Ovis aries: one gene and its partner. The protein of the gene in region 1 purifies or fractionates together with the protein of each later gene. This does not show direct contact. Links are inferred from orthologs where the notes say so. Each region holds a gene or a part of one and is shown in the gene's direction. Other genes may lie near its edges.

Evidence for each region.
Region 2: the proteins of RPS9 (region 1) and CTCF purify together in Homo sapiens (affinity purification with mass spectrometry; 3 studies listed by BioGRID and IntAct, with this or other methods). This does not show direct contact. The link is inferred for Ovis aries from reciprocal best matches to the Homo sapiens genes RPS9 and CTCF.

Annotation. Positions count from the first base shown.
Region 1 is NC_056067.1:63,945,154-63,953,425, reverse strand, and holds the start of RPS9 (small ribosomal subunit protein uS4), read left to right. Parts: upstream 1-3,491; 5' UTR 3,492-3,522; intron 3,523-3,701; 5' UTR 3,702-3,806; coding exon 3,807-3,903; intron 3,904-4,101; coding exon 4,102-4,224; intron 4,225-8,272. Other genes in the region: TSEN34 (tRNA-splicing endonuclease subunit Sen34), read left to right, coding at 240-427. UniProt on the Homo sapiens protein: Component of the small ribosomal subunit. The ribosome is a large ribonucleoprotein complex responsible for the synthesis of proteins in the cell. Part of the small subunit (SSU) processome, first precursor of the small eukaryotic ribosomal subunit.
Region 2 is NC_056067.1:34,743,737-34,750,348, forward strand, and holds the end of CTCF (transcriptional repressor CTCF), read left to right. Parts: exon of another isoform or gene 1-1,036; intron 1,037-1,052; coding exon 1,053-1,214; intron 1,215-2,507; coding exon 2,508-2,692; 3' UTR 2,693-3,987; downstream 3,988-6,612.

The DNA of each region.
Region 1 (8,272 bases):
CCCATGGACAGAGGAGCCTGGTAGGCCACAGTCTATGGGGTTGCAAAGAGTCGGACACGACTGAGCGACTTCATTTTCACATAATGTGTCAACTTGCTCCACCCCCCAGGCCCAAGAGTGTCTTTTACAATATTGGTAGTGATGGCTGGATGCCTTGCGATCCCCTCCGTGTTGGAGGTCCCAGTGTCTTCCAGCTTTCCACCAGTGGAAACTGCTACCTGCCTCTCTCCTTCACCCAGGTGACCCGCTCCGTTTCCACGCTCACTACATCGCCCAGTGCTGGGCTCCCGGGGATCCCATACCACTCCAGGACCTGGTTTCGGCTGGCCGCCTGGGCACCAGTGTCAGAAAGACGCTGCTGCTTTGCTCTCCGCAGCCCGATGGTAAGGTGGTCTACACGTCCCTGCAGTGGGCCAGCCTGCAGTGAGCTCCAGAGACCTGTGGGCGCGTGGCCATGTCCGTGGCAAGACCATTTCTAGATGGTTCCAAGCTCATCTCTGCGTGGGAGGCCCCGCCCCACCTCCTCTCTCTCTTGGCGATTAGTGTTCGATTCCAGATTTATAAACACTACATCCTCCTTATATCCCTCCCCAATCCAAAGCACTTAGTGGCTGTGTTTTTTTTTATTGTTAACAGTTTCCAACCATGAGTTTCCTGAGTGTGAAAGCTGATTCATTTCTGTTTTCTACAGGGCTTAGGTCCCAAGAGGTCTCAATAAATTTGTTGAATCAGTGTGGAGTTTGTGATTTGAATCCTTAAGACAATCCTGGGAGGTGTGGGCAGTTGCTGCAGGTGTTTGGGCAGATGAGGAAAAGCCTGGGGGAGGGGAAATGAGTTGCCCAAGGTCCCACTTCTAGTAAGGAGCAGGTGTGTTAGTCGCTGAGTCGTGTCCAACTCTTTGTGACCCCATGGGCTTCCCTGGTGGATCAAACGGTAAAGAGTGTGCCTCCAATGTGGGAGACCTGGGTTCGATGCCGGGGTTGGGAAGATCCCCTGGAGGAGGGCATGGCAACCCACTCCATTATTCCTGCCTGGGGAATCCCATGGACAGAGGAGCCTGCATTTAGTTGCTCAGTCATGTCTACCAGGGATAGAACTCAAGGCCCCGACAGGTAATAAATGCTGGAGAGGGTGTGGAGAAGAGGGAACCCTCTTACACTATTGGTGGCAATGTAAATTGGTACAGCCACTAGGGAGAACAGTATGGAGGGTCCTTAAAAAACTAAAAATGGAACTACCAAATGACCCAGCAGTCACACTCCTGGGCATGTATACTGAGAAAACCATACTTTGAAAAGGTGCTTGCAGCACTATTTACAATAACCAAGACATGGAAGCAACCTAAGTGTCCATCAACAGATGAATGGATAAAGAAGATTCGGTACATATGTGCAATGGGGTATTACTCAGCCATAGAAAAGAGTGAAATCTTGCCATCTGCAGCAAAATGGGTGGACCTAGAGATGGTCATAGGTAATGACAACTAGTGAAGTAAGGCAATGACAAGCATGACATGGCAATCGCTTATGTGGAATCTAGAAAAAAATAGATAAACATTATTAAAACAAACAGACTCACAGACATGGAAAACAAGCTTATGGTCACCAAAGGGAACAGTGAGGGGAGGGAAGATAAATTATAAGTTTGGGATTAATATATACACATGACAATATGTAAAGCAGGTAAAAATCAAGAATTTACTAGATAGCACAGGAAACTATAGGGCTTCCCAGGTGGCACTAGGGGCAAAGAACCAGCCTGAAAGCACAAGGGACAAGAGACGCGGGTTTGATCCCTGGGCTGGGAAGATCCCCTGGAGGAGGGCATGGCAACCTACTTCAGTATCTTGCCTGAGGAATCCCATGGACAGAGGATCCTGGTGGGCTACAGTTCACGGGGTTGCAGAGAATTGGACACTATTGAAGGACAGAGGAGCCTGGTCGGCTACAGTTCATGTATCTTGCTTGAGAAATTCCATGGACAGAGGATCCTGGTGGGCTACAGTTCACGGGGTTGCAGAGAATTAGACACGATTGAAGGACAGAGGAGCCTGGTCGGCTACAGTTCATGGAGTTGCAGAGAGTTGGACACAATTGAAGCAACTTAGTATGCACACACTGTAGCCTGACTGGCTTCTCTGTCCACTAGCGCCACTGGGAAGCCCAGGATTAAGTAAATTAACATGGGTACAATTCTTTGAATGGGGCCTGATGCATAGTAATTAAGTATTCTAGAATGCCACCTATTATTTTTAGTGATAGAAATAATGGGTCACATGAATTAAAACATCAACAACAATAACAACAACAACAAAACACCCAAAACTGTAAGGTGTTTAACCCAAAGCCTAGGAGATTTAGAGTGCTTGTTAAATATTATCTAACCAAGATAAAGTTGGTGTGAATGGGATTATCCCAGAGAGAAAAGCACTAGAGGCAATAATCCTGGGGCTGTCTGAGAGGAGATATATATATATTTCAGGTTTATAGCAAGAGGTTTCAGAATATTTTCCCTGTTCTGGAAACCCAAAGAAAACCTCAGGATATAAACTGCTTTCACAAAGAGGCACAGAGTCTTTTAATCATTGGATCTCGTTTAAGGAAAAGTTAGTTACCTTTACGTGTATACACACATACACACACACATCACAGTTTTCATCAGTCACCTTCTTAAGGAGGCTTCCCTGACCATCCTTTCTGAAATACCATTTTCCCTCCGTCACTGAGAGATGTGCTTAGTCGCTTAATCCTGTCCGACCCTTTGCGACCCCGTGGACTGTAGCCTGCCAGGCTCCTCTGTTCATGAGATTTTTCAGGCAATAGTCCTAGAGTGGATTGCCATTTCCTTCTCCAGGGGATCGTCCCAACCCAGGGATCGAACCTGGGTCTCCCGCACTGCAGGCGGATTCTTTACCACTGAGTCATCAGAGAAGCTCAGTCATTACCAATAATTTATTTTCCTCACAGCAGCTATCTGAAAAGACCTTATTATTTTCCCTCTCCTCCCTTAGACTCAAAGTTTCACGAACAGAGGGGCTGTTGAAGGGTTCAAAAGGGCAGACTGGCTTCTGGCTGTGCCTCGCGTAGACATTCTGATATGAAAAATTATTTTTTAAAAAGTATTCATGGATATAACAGAGCATCTTGGAAGGGGCTCTGAATTCGCATAGGTCCAGTCCTCTGGAGATCTCTTCAGAGAGACGCAGCATGCTGAAGCCTAGCGGCGGAGGCCGTGACTACTCCAGCTTCATACCGCGACTCAGACGTTAGCTGAGTGGTGATTTAAGAGAGGAGCCCTCACGTCGCACCAGACCGAGCATTAATCCCTCAGGAGTCCTCCCGGTTCAGCACGCCACTCTAGCCCAAGCTCTCCTCTTGACTGCTTTGTCCGCCCGCCAAGGCCTTTTCTGATTGGTGCAAACTTGCGCTCTGCGTGCTGACGTCACAAGATGGCGACGTTGCTATAAGAACGCGGCCGGCGAACGTGTGCTCCTCTTTCTTGGTTTCCAGAGCGTTCGCTCAGGTGAGCCTTGCGGCCGCGTTCGGTATTTTGGGTGTCGGTCGTAAAGTCTTGCGGGCTATTCGACCTTTAATGAGTACGCTAAAGCAGTTGGAGGTGAAATGGGCGTAACTGGAAAGTGGTAGAAATGAATAGTCGGTTATAAAACTCTTCAGGGACGGTTCTCGCGATATCTTCCCTAGGCGCCGGGAGGCTCTTGGCGTAGTTGTGGGACTGCGCAGGCGCCGCCGAGTCCTCTCAGGCCGCTCTCCTTCCCGCGCAGGCGCAGACGGGCAAACAGAGCCAGCATGCCGGTCGCCCGGAGCTGGGTTTGTCGCAAAACCTATGTGACCCCGCGGAGACCCTTCGAGAAGTCCCGCCTCGACCAAGAGCTGAAGCTGATCGGTGAGTGGCTAAAGCTAGGTTTCTGTTTCCCGGGCTGGGGAAGCTGACACGTGGGTGAGGCCGCCCACGTGCTCGTTAAAATTCTCCAGTGTGTTCGCCCTCCTCACCCAGTTGCGGGATTGTTGTTTTTCTGTATCCCGAAATCACTAATCCTTTTTCACTAGTCCATGGGACTGAGCTTTTTCACTCATTCTGCAGGCGAGTACGGGCTCCGGAACAAACGTGAGGTCTGGAGGGTCAAATTCACCCTGGCCAAGATCCGAAAGGCTGCCCGGGAGCTGCTGACGCTGGATGAGAAAGACCCGCGGCGTCTGTTCGAAGGTGTGTTTGTGAGCCCCCGGGAGAGCTGCTGGTGTTCTTCCTTCTAGGGTTGTGCAAGACATGGAGCAAGACATTGAATCCAGCTTTTAATAGGAGTTATGGAGTAGAGAAATAGGTCTGAATCTCCGAGTACGTAGCTTTTTTCTTGTTTATGTCTGTTTTATTCAAACACTGAGAATCGGTTTCCAGTGGACTAGAACTAACAGTGCCAAGTATTGGGCACCTGGTTATATCTATACATAGTTCACAGAGCAGTATTGCTCCTTACGTTCTTGTTCCCTGCTAGAGGGACTGGACGGTGACATTTGAGAAGTCCCACCAGGGTGGAACTTGAGTGTGTGTATTTGCCGCCTTTAGCACGATGGTGAAGGACGTTTACTCAGGGTCTGAACAGTAGAGGACCTGTGGGTTTCACAGGAAAGAACGGTTCCAGGTGATCTTAGAGGGAACCCACCGTATGATTTAAGGTGAAAAAAAATGATGGTGTGGTATATTTGACAAACTGCCATCTTTTAGACTCTTAAGGTCTATCTGCTTTAAGATGTGAGGTTGATGGGCTTTTGGAAGGGACGATATCATTCATATTTCAGTAGGACCTCTTAGGTTGTCAGATGGTGAAAATACTAAGAAAGCTGGTACTTTATAAGGCTCACTGAATATCTTTTCTATGCTCTTGGTGTACATTTGCACAAGTAGACTGGCGGGGGTACTGGATCACAGTCTTCAAATGAGCAAGTGATCGAGACTTCCCGCAGTAGGTGGGACTGGAGGGCACGCGAGCTCAGGGTTGGGAGTTGAAGGAGGCTTCCAGATGATGGTTAGGTAACACGCCAAGTTGAAACAGTTCCTAAATGTGAGAGTAGTCAGTAGACTTGGTGCTGCATTCTGTCCCGAGTGTGGAGGAGCTTCATAGACAGTTTGTGACTCTAACGACCTTGGCTGTAGCTGACTCTTTTTTGGTGTAGGTGTATCTGTTTTTTGTGACACCTTTTATTAGGATAAACTTTACACAACAGGAAGTTTGCTCACAGTATCTAAAATTTGTTTTTAGTTACCTCTAGAATTGGCCATTTTGTAGGTATTATCTTGATGCTGCTTTTGGTCTGACCCCGGGAAATCTTGATTCTAGTGAAAGTGAGGAGGGATTGGGCTAACTTGGGCAGCTGGCTTTTTATTTTCAATTAGAGTGGCTAGTCTGATTTTTCTCCCAAACCGTGATTAAGGATGGAAGTGCTCTTACACTTGTGTTAAGCATTAGTAGTCATCCATAGTAGAGACTGAGAAAGGTTTGGAGAGGTTACACTAACAGATTCATCACTTTGATCTATCCCAGTTCCAAGGGTGTGAGAGGTTCTCATTTTTAACCTTTGTTAGTTCGGAAGCTCCTTTGACACTTGTGAGAATTCAGGAATCTCCCTGGTGGATGTTGGTATTGGGTGGAACTCTGTCCCAGAGTTTGGGGGACAGACCTCAGCTTGTTCTGGTCTCAGGGAAACTTGCTGGAGAGTTAATCACAGAGAAACTTAGGTGCTAACCAGTCATGTGACAAAGAGATGGCACAGGGCAGGGTTGAGCAGCGGGTGTCCAGGGATTACTTGGTTTTCCAGGGGGGATGTTGCGTGGGGAGGGCAACAGCAAGTAATCCACAGTGAGTGAAGCTAGATTGCTGGGATGGAGAGGAGGAGCCTGGGAGCTCTGAGGTGTTTGCTTACTGCTGCAGCTTGGCCTTGTTTGAGGTCCAGCCTTTCCTACTAAGGTGTGAGTCTTACCTGACAAGAAGAGTTACTGGTTCATTTCATTCAGTCATTCACAGGTATCAGCTCTCACCTGACACCAGCACAGGGTAAAGACCAAACCTGGCTCTCCTGCACTGCAGGCAGATTCTCTACCCTGTTCTGGTGTGAGGTGGGAGTTGACACCTGTGACTCTTTTTGTCATAAGACTCACACCTTAGTGGGAGTTTGATCCCTGGGTCAGGAAGATCCCCTGGAGTAGGAATGGCAACCCATTCCAGCTTATTACCTGGAGAATGCTGTGGACAGGGGCCTGGCAGAGTTGGACACGACTGAGTGACTAACACATCATATTAGAAACTAAGGCCCTTAAATGCTTGCCTCATGCCATAGAGACAAGGGCCCCTTGGCCATTGAGGTGCCCACTGGCATACAGTTGTTTTTTTTTTTTTTAAACAAACTTTGATTTGGCTGATTCTGATTGTTAATTCTTTTGGCCAAATGAAAACCGTTTATCAATTTTCAGTAGTTTGACACATTCCTGTTGCTGAAGGCTGCAAGTTTATCAGTTTTATTTTTGTCTTCATATCCAGTAAGATTTTTCCTACTCACTATTAAAGGATGTAGGTGGGTTAATAATAGTAAGTAAAATATGTTTTCAAAGTAATACAGGTTGAGTTATTGTCAGATGTTTATTTTCTAATATAAGTACAAAAAGACATGAAGTGTCCAAACTGGTAGATAATTCCAAACTCACTTTTGTTTACCTTTGGATATGTTTTATAATAATATTTGATTATTATGTTCAGTTTTTAAATTGTATAATTTATCATTTGACATTATGAGTATGGAACAGAATGATACATTTGTATATTGTGAAATGATCTCCACAGTAACATCAGATCATCTTCCCATTTTTTAATCGAAGTGTTTTTTTTTTTTTGCTGTTGTATTATTTCATTATATATTTTGGTTATTAACGCCTTATTAGATATGTGATTTATAAATATTTTCTCCCATTCCGAAGGTGGTTTTTCTTTTTGTTATGCTCTGCAGAAGCTTTTTAGTTTGATGTGGTCCAACTTGTTGATTTTTCCTTTTGTTACCTTTAGTTTAGAATCAGATCCAAACAATCATCTCCGAGACTGAGGTCAAGGAGGGTAGTGCCTGTGTTCCTAGGAGTTTCATGGTGTCAGGTCTTACATTCCTGTGTTTAATCCACTTTGGGTTTGTTTTTTCCCCCCGCTGGAGAGCTTAAGGGATCTTCATTCCCAGTTGTTGTTTAGTCGCTAAGTCATGTCCAACTCCCAGTGGACCCCATGGACCGTAGCCCGCCAGGCTCCTCTGTCCATGGGATTTCCACGGCAGGAATGATAGAGTAGGCTGCCGTTTCCTTCCCCCTGGGATCTCCCCCGCCCCCCAACCAGGGATTTCCTGTGTTGCAGGCATATTCTTTACCGCTGAGCCGGGGCCACTGCAGTGGAATCACCAGTTTCCGAGTCCTCACTGCTGGACCTTGTGGGAATTCATGGTTTTTAGTTAACTTTTGCACAGGATAAGATAGGGGTTCAGCCTTGTTCTTGCATGTGGCTGTCCAGTTTTCCAGACACCATTATCGAGAGACTTCCCCACTGTGTATGCCCAGCTCCTTTGTTGTAAATTGACTGACCGTTTGTATATGTGGGCTTATTTCTGGTCTCCATTCTGCTCCCTTGATCTGTTTCTATGCCAGTAGTGTCGTACTGCTTTGATTACTGTGACTAATGTGTACAACTTTGGGGGGGTTTTCTTCTGTTTATTTTTTGTTTTTGTCTTTTTTACAACTTTGTTTTTCCTCCAGATGGGCTTGAGCTAGCTATTCAGGGTCTTTTCTGGTTCCATAAAGATTTTAGGATTGCTTGTTCTTTTCCTGTGAAAAATGGCATTGGAATTGTTATAGGGATTGCCTCCAGTCTGTATGTCGCTATAGGTAGTGTGGGCGTGTTTTAGCTGCGGCCCCAGTCCATGAGCACTGAATTTCTTTGCGTCTGCGTCTTTAGTTTCTTTGATGGTGTTTTGCAGTTCTCATTGTGCAGGCTTTTCACTAAGATTTCTATGCACTTGGAAATGGGAGACTATCCTTGACTTGTGTTCAGTGTGTATTCAGGGCAGATTGGTACCTGGGGTGTTGGAAAAGGCGTAGTATGTTTCTCCACTCAGATTCTCCTTGGCTGCGAGTCTGCTAGGAAGGCTGTGACAGTCAGCCAGCTTTCCTTCAGGCTTTGTCTGGGGGCGGGGGGTGTGGGTGGTAATGGTGCTTTTAGGAGCTAATAAAT
Region 2 (6,612 bases), about 29 Mb from region 1:
TGCTTCTTGGAGGAAGGCAGGCAGGATGTCTTTCTGCCATGGCAGTGGGGGAGGGGTAGGAAGAGCTCTCCAGTTGCCTCAGGTGTGGGTGGCAGAACATCCCCAAACTGCGGTTAGTTGTGTCTTATAAATCACTTCAGTTTCTCTGTTTTTATAAAAGGAGGGTAATGCCTCTTACTTAATGAAGCCTATATGGAATAATGGAGAATTTTTATAAACTCTGATGTCTAGTGCAAAAAGCATCTGTGATGATGTGGTAGAATGTAAGTTGCAGAGCACAGTTACAGGCATTAGCTCTTTGTGATCCTTGAGAGTGCTTTAGAGATTACACAAGGAAACTGAGGTTCATTGTGGTTATCATCCCAGGTCACACACTTAGGAGATCTGAGACTCAAAACGGAATTATCAGGCTCTTCATCAGTGTTCTTTTCTACAATAAGTCCCTCTCTTTTTATGTGGTAGTTGCTTTAGGGAGAAGGTCAGGGAGTTAGGAGGACCCACTGGGTTTGGGACAGCAGGGAATTAAATCCCCAAATTTGATCTCAACACTTTCCTAGTAAATGGGACCTCATGGTGCTTCAAGAACTTTATACACACACACACACACAGCTTCCACTACTCTTTAGGGGTCCATCTCAGGCTTAGTGTCCTGTTTTATCCGTGTATAGTAGGTAGAGGGAACATTTGTTTCATTTTGAGCTTAAAACACCACTTGGCAGGGGTGTTTATATAACTGGTGTAAGGTGGAGTTGCCTTTAAGAATTTGAAACTCAATATTCTGATATCTAAAGCCAAAAGAATATCCAGTCCACATAAAATATGAATAATGGTAATCAAGTTGATTTGCTTATTAATTTAGTATTAATACCAGCTTACTTTCTTTAGTGCTGAAAACAAAAATTCCAGTGAAATGTAATTTTTAAATGGGCTATTAACAATGAAAATAAACATTTAATCAGACTTCACAGAATACGTGATTATTTGTGTGTTGCTTTTCCTTCCTCCACTCGTCTCCTTGCCCCACCACCTCTTCTTCCTGATTTCATGAGAAGAAAATGCTGAGCCAGACTTGGATGACAATGAGGATGAGGAGGAGCCTGCCGTGGAGATTGAACCCGAGCCAGAGCCCCAGCCAGTGACCCCAGCCCCACCACCTGCCAAGAAACGGAGAGGACGCCCCCCTGGCAGAACCAACCAGCCCAAACAGACCCAGCGTAAGTTGCTTGTCTCAGCTCAGTAGGCTGGCGTCCTCTCCTAATGTGGGGAAGCCAGACAGGTCCTTGTTCTCTGGATAGATGGGAACCGAGCCATGAGAACAAGTTAAGGTCACACTGGGAACAAATTCTCAGGAAGCGATTTTTTAGTTTTTTATTGGGGAACATCTGAGAAAGTCTCTAGAGGATTGTTAAGTTTCAGCAAGATAAAGTCCAGAGTCAAAGGGTACTTACTATGAGATGGGTATTGTCAGTGTCAGAGGGTTTTACAAAACAATTAGAGTCTTAGTTAGCTGGTAAAATTGACATGGTAATGAATGTAATGTATAAGAGCCAAATTTTAAAGGATGGAGGAATAAAGGGATTTCCATGATGACAGTGTCCCTCCTAAGAAACCCAGACCCATGACATGGATTCTGTTGCTGCCTTCCTGATTTATGAGAAGACATTGGGGAGCAGTCCTGTACTGGACATGGCCCTTGTAATTGCAGGCTCTAGGGAGTCTCAGGTGTCTGTTCTATTCATGAATCTCCGAAAAGCTGGCAATTCTTTTTCTTTCTTCAACAAATGCAGTGTTTCATCTGTTTTTTTAATATGTTCCTTGAGCCCCATGTCAAAATGTCTTATTACAGAGGGGTGGTGGGGGAACTATTTGACCTACAAATATTTGAGTGAACAAACTGGTGGTAGAACCCTCGGTGTTGGACAGCTTCAGATGCAAAAATATCAGGTTCTGGAACTTCTCTGGAGGTTCATGGCTAAGACTGCACTCCCAATGCAGGGGCCCCCAGGTTCAATCCCTGATCAAGGAACTAGATCCTGCAGGCCACAGCTAAGCTCGTGTGCTGCAACTAAGACCTGGCACAGATAAGTTTGTTAAAAGTGTCGGGCTCTTGCGCTGCAGGTGGGGCATCTCTGAGACAGGCCTGCCCGCGCCCTCCACTCTGAGGCCTGCCTTGACTCGTGCGCCCTGCATGTTTTGCCTGTGTCACACTGACTGTTGTGAAGCCCTAATCTATGAGATACAGGAAAGCTTAAGGTTTTTAACACATGATTTGGGAGGCATATGAAGAGGAATGTCAGTACTTTGTTTTTTGGTACTATCTAGAGTATTTGGGCTTTGTGTATGGCCACATTATAGGTTATTAAGTCTTTTTTATTGATGTTCTCTATATCAAAACTGAGGCTTTCCTGTGTTGCTGACTTTCATTTAGTGTCAAAGTCTGAAAAGACCCTTGCAATTCTTGGGGGCTTTAATGGAGCATTTGTTTTCTTCATGCTCTTCTTTGCCAGCAACAGCCATCATTCAGGTCGAAGACCAGAATACAGGTGCAATTGAGAACATTATAGTTGAAGTCAAAAAAGAGCCAGATGCAGAGCCTGCGGAGGGGGAGGAAGAGGAGGCCCAGCCAGCTGCCACAGATGCCCCCAACGGAGACCTCACGCCTGAGATGATCCTCAGCATGATGGACCGGTGATGGCAGGGCCTTGCTCCTTGCCAGGACTGCTCTGGGCTGTGTTTAAACGGCCTGCATCTTAATTTTTCTCCCTTCTTTCTTCTTTTGGCTTTGGGAAAAGCATCATTTTACCAAACATACTGAGAACTAAAACTTCAAGGATGATGTTAGAAAATGTGATTTAACTAGAACTTGCTGTTTGATGTTAGCAAATCATGGAATGTTCTGAGTCCCTGAGGGTTTACTGTGAAGTGCTGAGGACAGTGTTCACGCCTCCCTGGTTTTCTTAGCTGGAAACAGAGACATTGAACCCTCTCTCTTGCAATGGTAAACCACTCCAGAAACCACCACCGGGTTTCCCAGAGTTCTTACAGTCTTCTTCCCAGGAGAGTTTTTAATTGTAAATGCAGACTTGGGAAGGACTTAAACTTTTAAACTGGTTTTTGCTTTTGCTTTTCCCTGACTCCCTTTGCTTGGAGTCAGCTGCACACCAGTAGTATGGCATGCTACGATTGGTTTCTGTCCTGAAGACTTTGCCTCTTTCTTGGCAAAGTTTCTGGTATGGTCAAGCTTGTAAATAACTTTTTTTACATTTTAATCTTTTCCATTAATTACGAGGTTGAAAAGAAGTGCAGTGTAAGAAAACCCAGCATTTTAATTACTTGCAAATTAAGTTACTACAGATGGTAGTTTGTAAACGTTGACGAGGAATTGGATCACAATCATGTCGCAGAACGGCACCGAGACTGCTGCCCTAGTGACGGACACCCACATGGAGCACCACGACTCCAACCCATGGAGCCAGCATTTGAACCTTGCACAATTAACTTTCAGTTATGATTTCCCATCTACGTTTCCTTTGCTTTGTTCGTAGCTGAGTTTCGTGTTTTATAAATCCTCTGTTGAAGCAGAAGGGTGATTATGAGTGGGTCACAGCAGCTCTTAAAAGCTGGGCCAGGAAATTTCACTAGGTCAGTAATTTAAACTTCGGATCTTCAAAAAAATAATAATGTGAAGCAAAACCAACTCAAAGTGATTCTTGCACATGAACTGTCACATGTTTAAAATGTGTTTTTTAGAGAGCCTCAGTCTTGCTGATTTCAACACTTTTTTCTTCTGTGTATTGCTTTTAAGAGAGCCATCAGTTAGCTATCAGACTCTAGGTTGATGCATTTTGTACTTAGCTGTACTGTGTGATATTTTTCATTATTTTAGGACGCCAACATGAGACCTGTAATAAAATATGTAATGGGGTTGAAAGCTGGGGAGGAGGATCTACTGCTGTACAGCTAATAAATCATAACGGATTAACAAGCGCTCCGAACACCCCCACTTGTGTGATTCCTGCCTAACCAGGGGCCCAGGGGGGTCTGTGTGCATAATCTCAGACAGCGCAGGCCTCTTTCAGAAGTGAGCTGTGCTTCCAGGATGACCACTTCTGTCTAGCAGATGGGCGATGATCTTGGCAAGTGATGGACTATTGAGGGCATCAATCCTGCTACAAGTTTTAATGCCCCAAAAGTATATGAGTAGAGATGTGAGTCTATACAGCTGCCAGCCCCCATGATCCACATAAAGAGTGGATTCCCTGTGGTAGAGCAGGTGGACCACAGAGCTTAAAGTAAAAGGGGCCAGTGGGGAGCTCTGGCCTCAAGATCTCAGCTCAAGATTTCCCTGGTGGTAAAGTGGATAAGAATCTGCTTGCCAATTCAGGGGACATGAGTTCGATCCCTGGTCCAGGAAGATTCCACATGCCGCATGGCAACTAAGGCCGGCACCACAGCTACCAAAGTCCACGCACCTGGAGCCTGTGCTCCACAGCCAAAGAAGCCATTGCAGTGAGAAGCCGGTGAACCTCAGCGAAGAGTAGTCCCCGCTCAGCACCACTAGAGAAAGCATTCACGCAGCAGCAGAGACCCAGCAGAACCCAGATGTAAACAGATTAATAATAACTTTTTAAAAAATTGGCTCACAGAGAACTGGGATCATTGCATCAAGCTTTGCTAAATGGCAGGGGAACAGAGAGAAGCTGGACCCTGGGGAAGTTCTTCTCTTGTCTGCCCTAGAGAAACTCACTTGAAAGGGGAGACCGATGTGCCACTACCAGACTGCGGGGAGAGACCTAGAGAGCATAGCTCCCTGTTAGCACCTGGGAAGCATGCTGGGAAGGGAATGCGTTAGGAAGTTTCTGTGTTGATGAATTACCATCTTGCTGTTGTCCATTTCTGAGCAGATTGCTCTGGCAGACCCATTGTAGGTGAAAGCTTTGGCCACAAATTACAGGGTTTTTTGGTTACTGAAGTATAGTTGATTTATAATGTGTTACTGCTGTCCAGCAGTGTGATTCAGTTATATATACATTCTTTTTTTTTAAATACTCCTTTCCATTTTGGTTTATCATAGACTATTGAATATAGTTCTCTGTGCCATACAGTAGGACCTTTTTTTTTTAAATCCATTCTATATATAAAAGCTTAACATCTGCTGATCTCAGCCTCCCTCTCTGTCCTTCCCTCTTGGCAACCACCAGTCTGTTCTCCATGTCTGTGATTCATAGATAAGCTCATTTGTGTCATATTTGAGATTCCACATATAAGTGATAGCATATGGCATTTGTCTTTTTCTGATTTACTTCATTTAACATAATTTCTAGTTGCATCCATGTTGCTGCAGTAGCGCTTTTCATTCTGTTTCGAGGCTGAGTAGTCCATTGTGTATACATACCACATCTTCTGTATCTGCTGATGGGCATCTAGGTGGCTTCCATGTCTTGGCTCTTGTAAATAGTGCAGGTAGGAACATAGGGTGTGTGTATGTGTTTGAATTATAGTTTTGCCCAGATATGTGCACAGGAGTGGGATTGCTGGATCAAATGGTTTTTTATGATGGCCATTCTGACTGTTAAGAAGTGGTACCTCACTGTAGTTTTGATTTGCATTTCTCTAATAGTGATGTTGAATATCATCATGTGCATATTGGCCATCTGTGCTGCTTTGGAGGAATGACTTAAGTCTTCTGCCCATTTTTGGGTTGGATTGTTTAATTTTTCATTGTTGAGTTGTATGAACTCTCTATATATTTTGGAGATGAAGCCCTTGTCAGTTGCATTATTTGCAAATATTTTTTCCATTCCATATGTTGTCTTAGATTTTTTTTGATTTTCTTTTCTATGCAAAAGCTTGTAAGTTTGATAAGGTCCCATTTGTTTAATTTTGTTTCTACTTCGTTTGCTTTGGGACACTTGACTTAAAACATTGGTACGATTTATGACAATGTTTTGTCTATGTTTTCTAGGAGTTATATGGTGTCTTGTTCTGTTTAAGTCTTTCAGTCATTTGTGTGTTTTTTTGCATATGGTGAGAGGGTGTGTTCTAATTTCATTGATTTACATGCAGCTGTTCAACTTCCCCAGCACCACTTGCTATAAAGACTTTTTCTCATTGCATATTCTTGCCTCCTTTGTCAAAGATTAATTGACTGTAGGTGTGGGCTTATTTCTGAGCTGTCTCCTCTGTTCCATTGATCCATGTGTCTGCTTTTGTGCCAGTTCTGATTATTGTAGCTTATAGTCTGTCTGAAGTCTAGGAGGGTTATGCCTCCTGCTTTGTTTTTCTTTAGGACTGCTTTGGCAATTCTGGGTCTTTTATGGTTCCATATGAATATTAGGATTCTGTGTCCTAGTTCTGTGAAAAATGTCATCAGTAATTTGATAGGGATCACATTAAAACTGTAGATTGCTTTGGGTGGTATGGAGATTTTGACACCATTACTTTTTCCAATCCAGGAGCAGGGGATATGTATTTCTTTGAATTATCTTCAGTTTTCTTTATTAATGTTTTATAGTTCTTATCATATTTAAGTCTTTCACTTCCTTGGTGAAGTTTATTCATAAGTGTGTTGTTTTTTGGGGTTATGATTCTAAGAGGTATTGATTTTTGTAC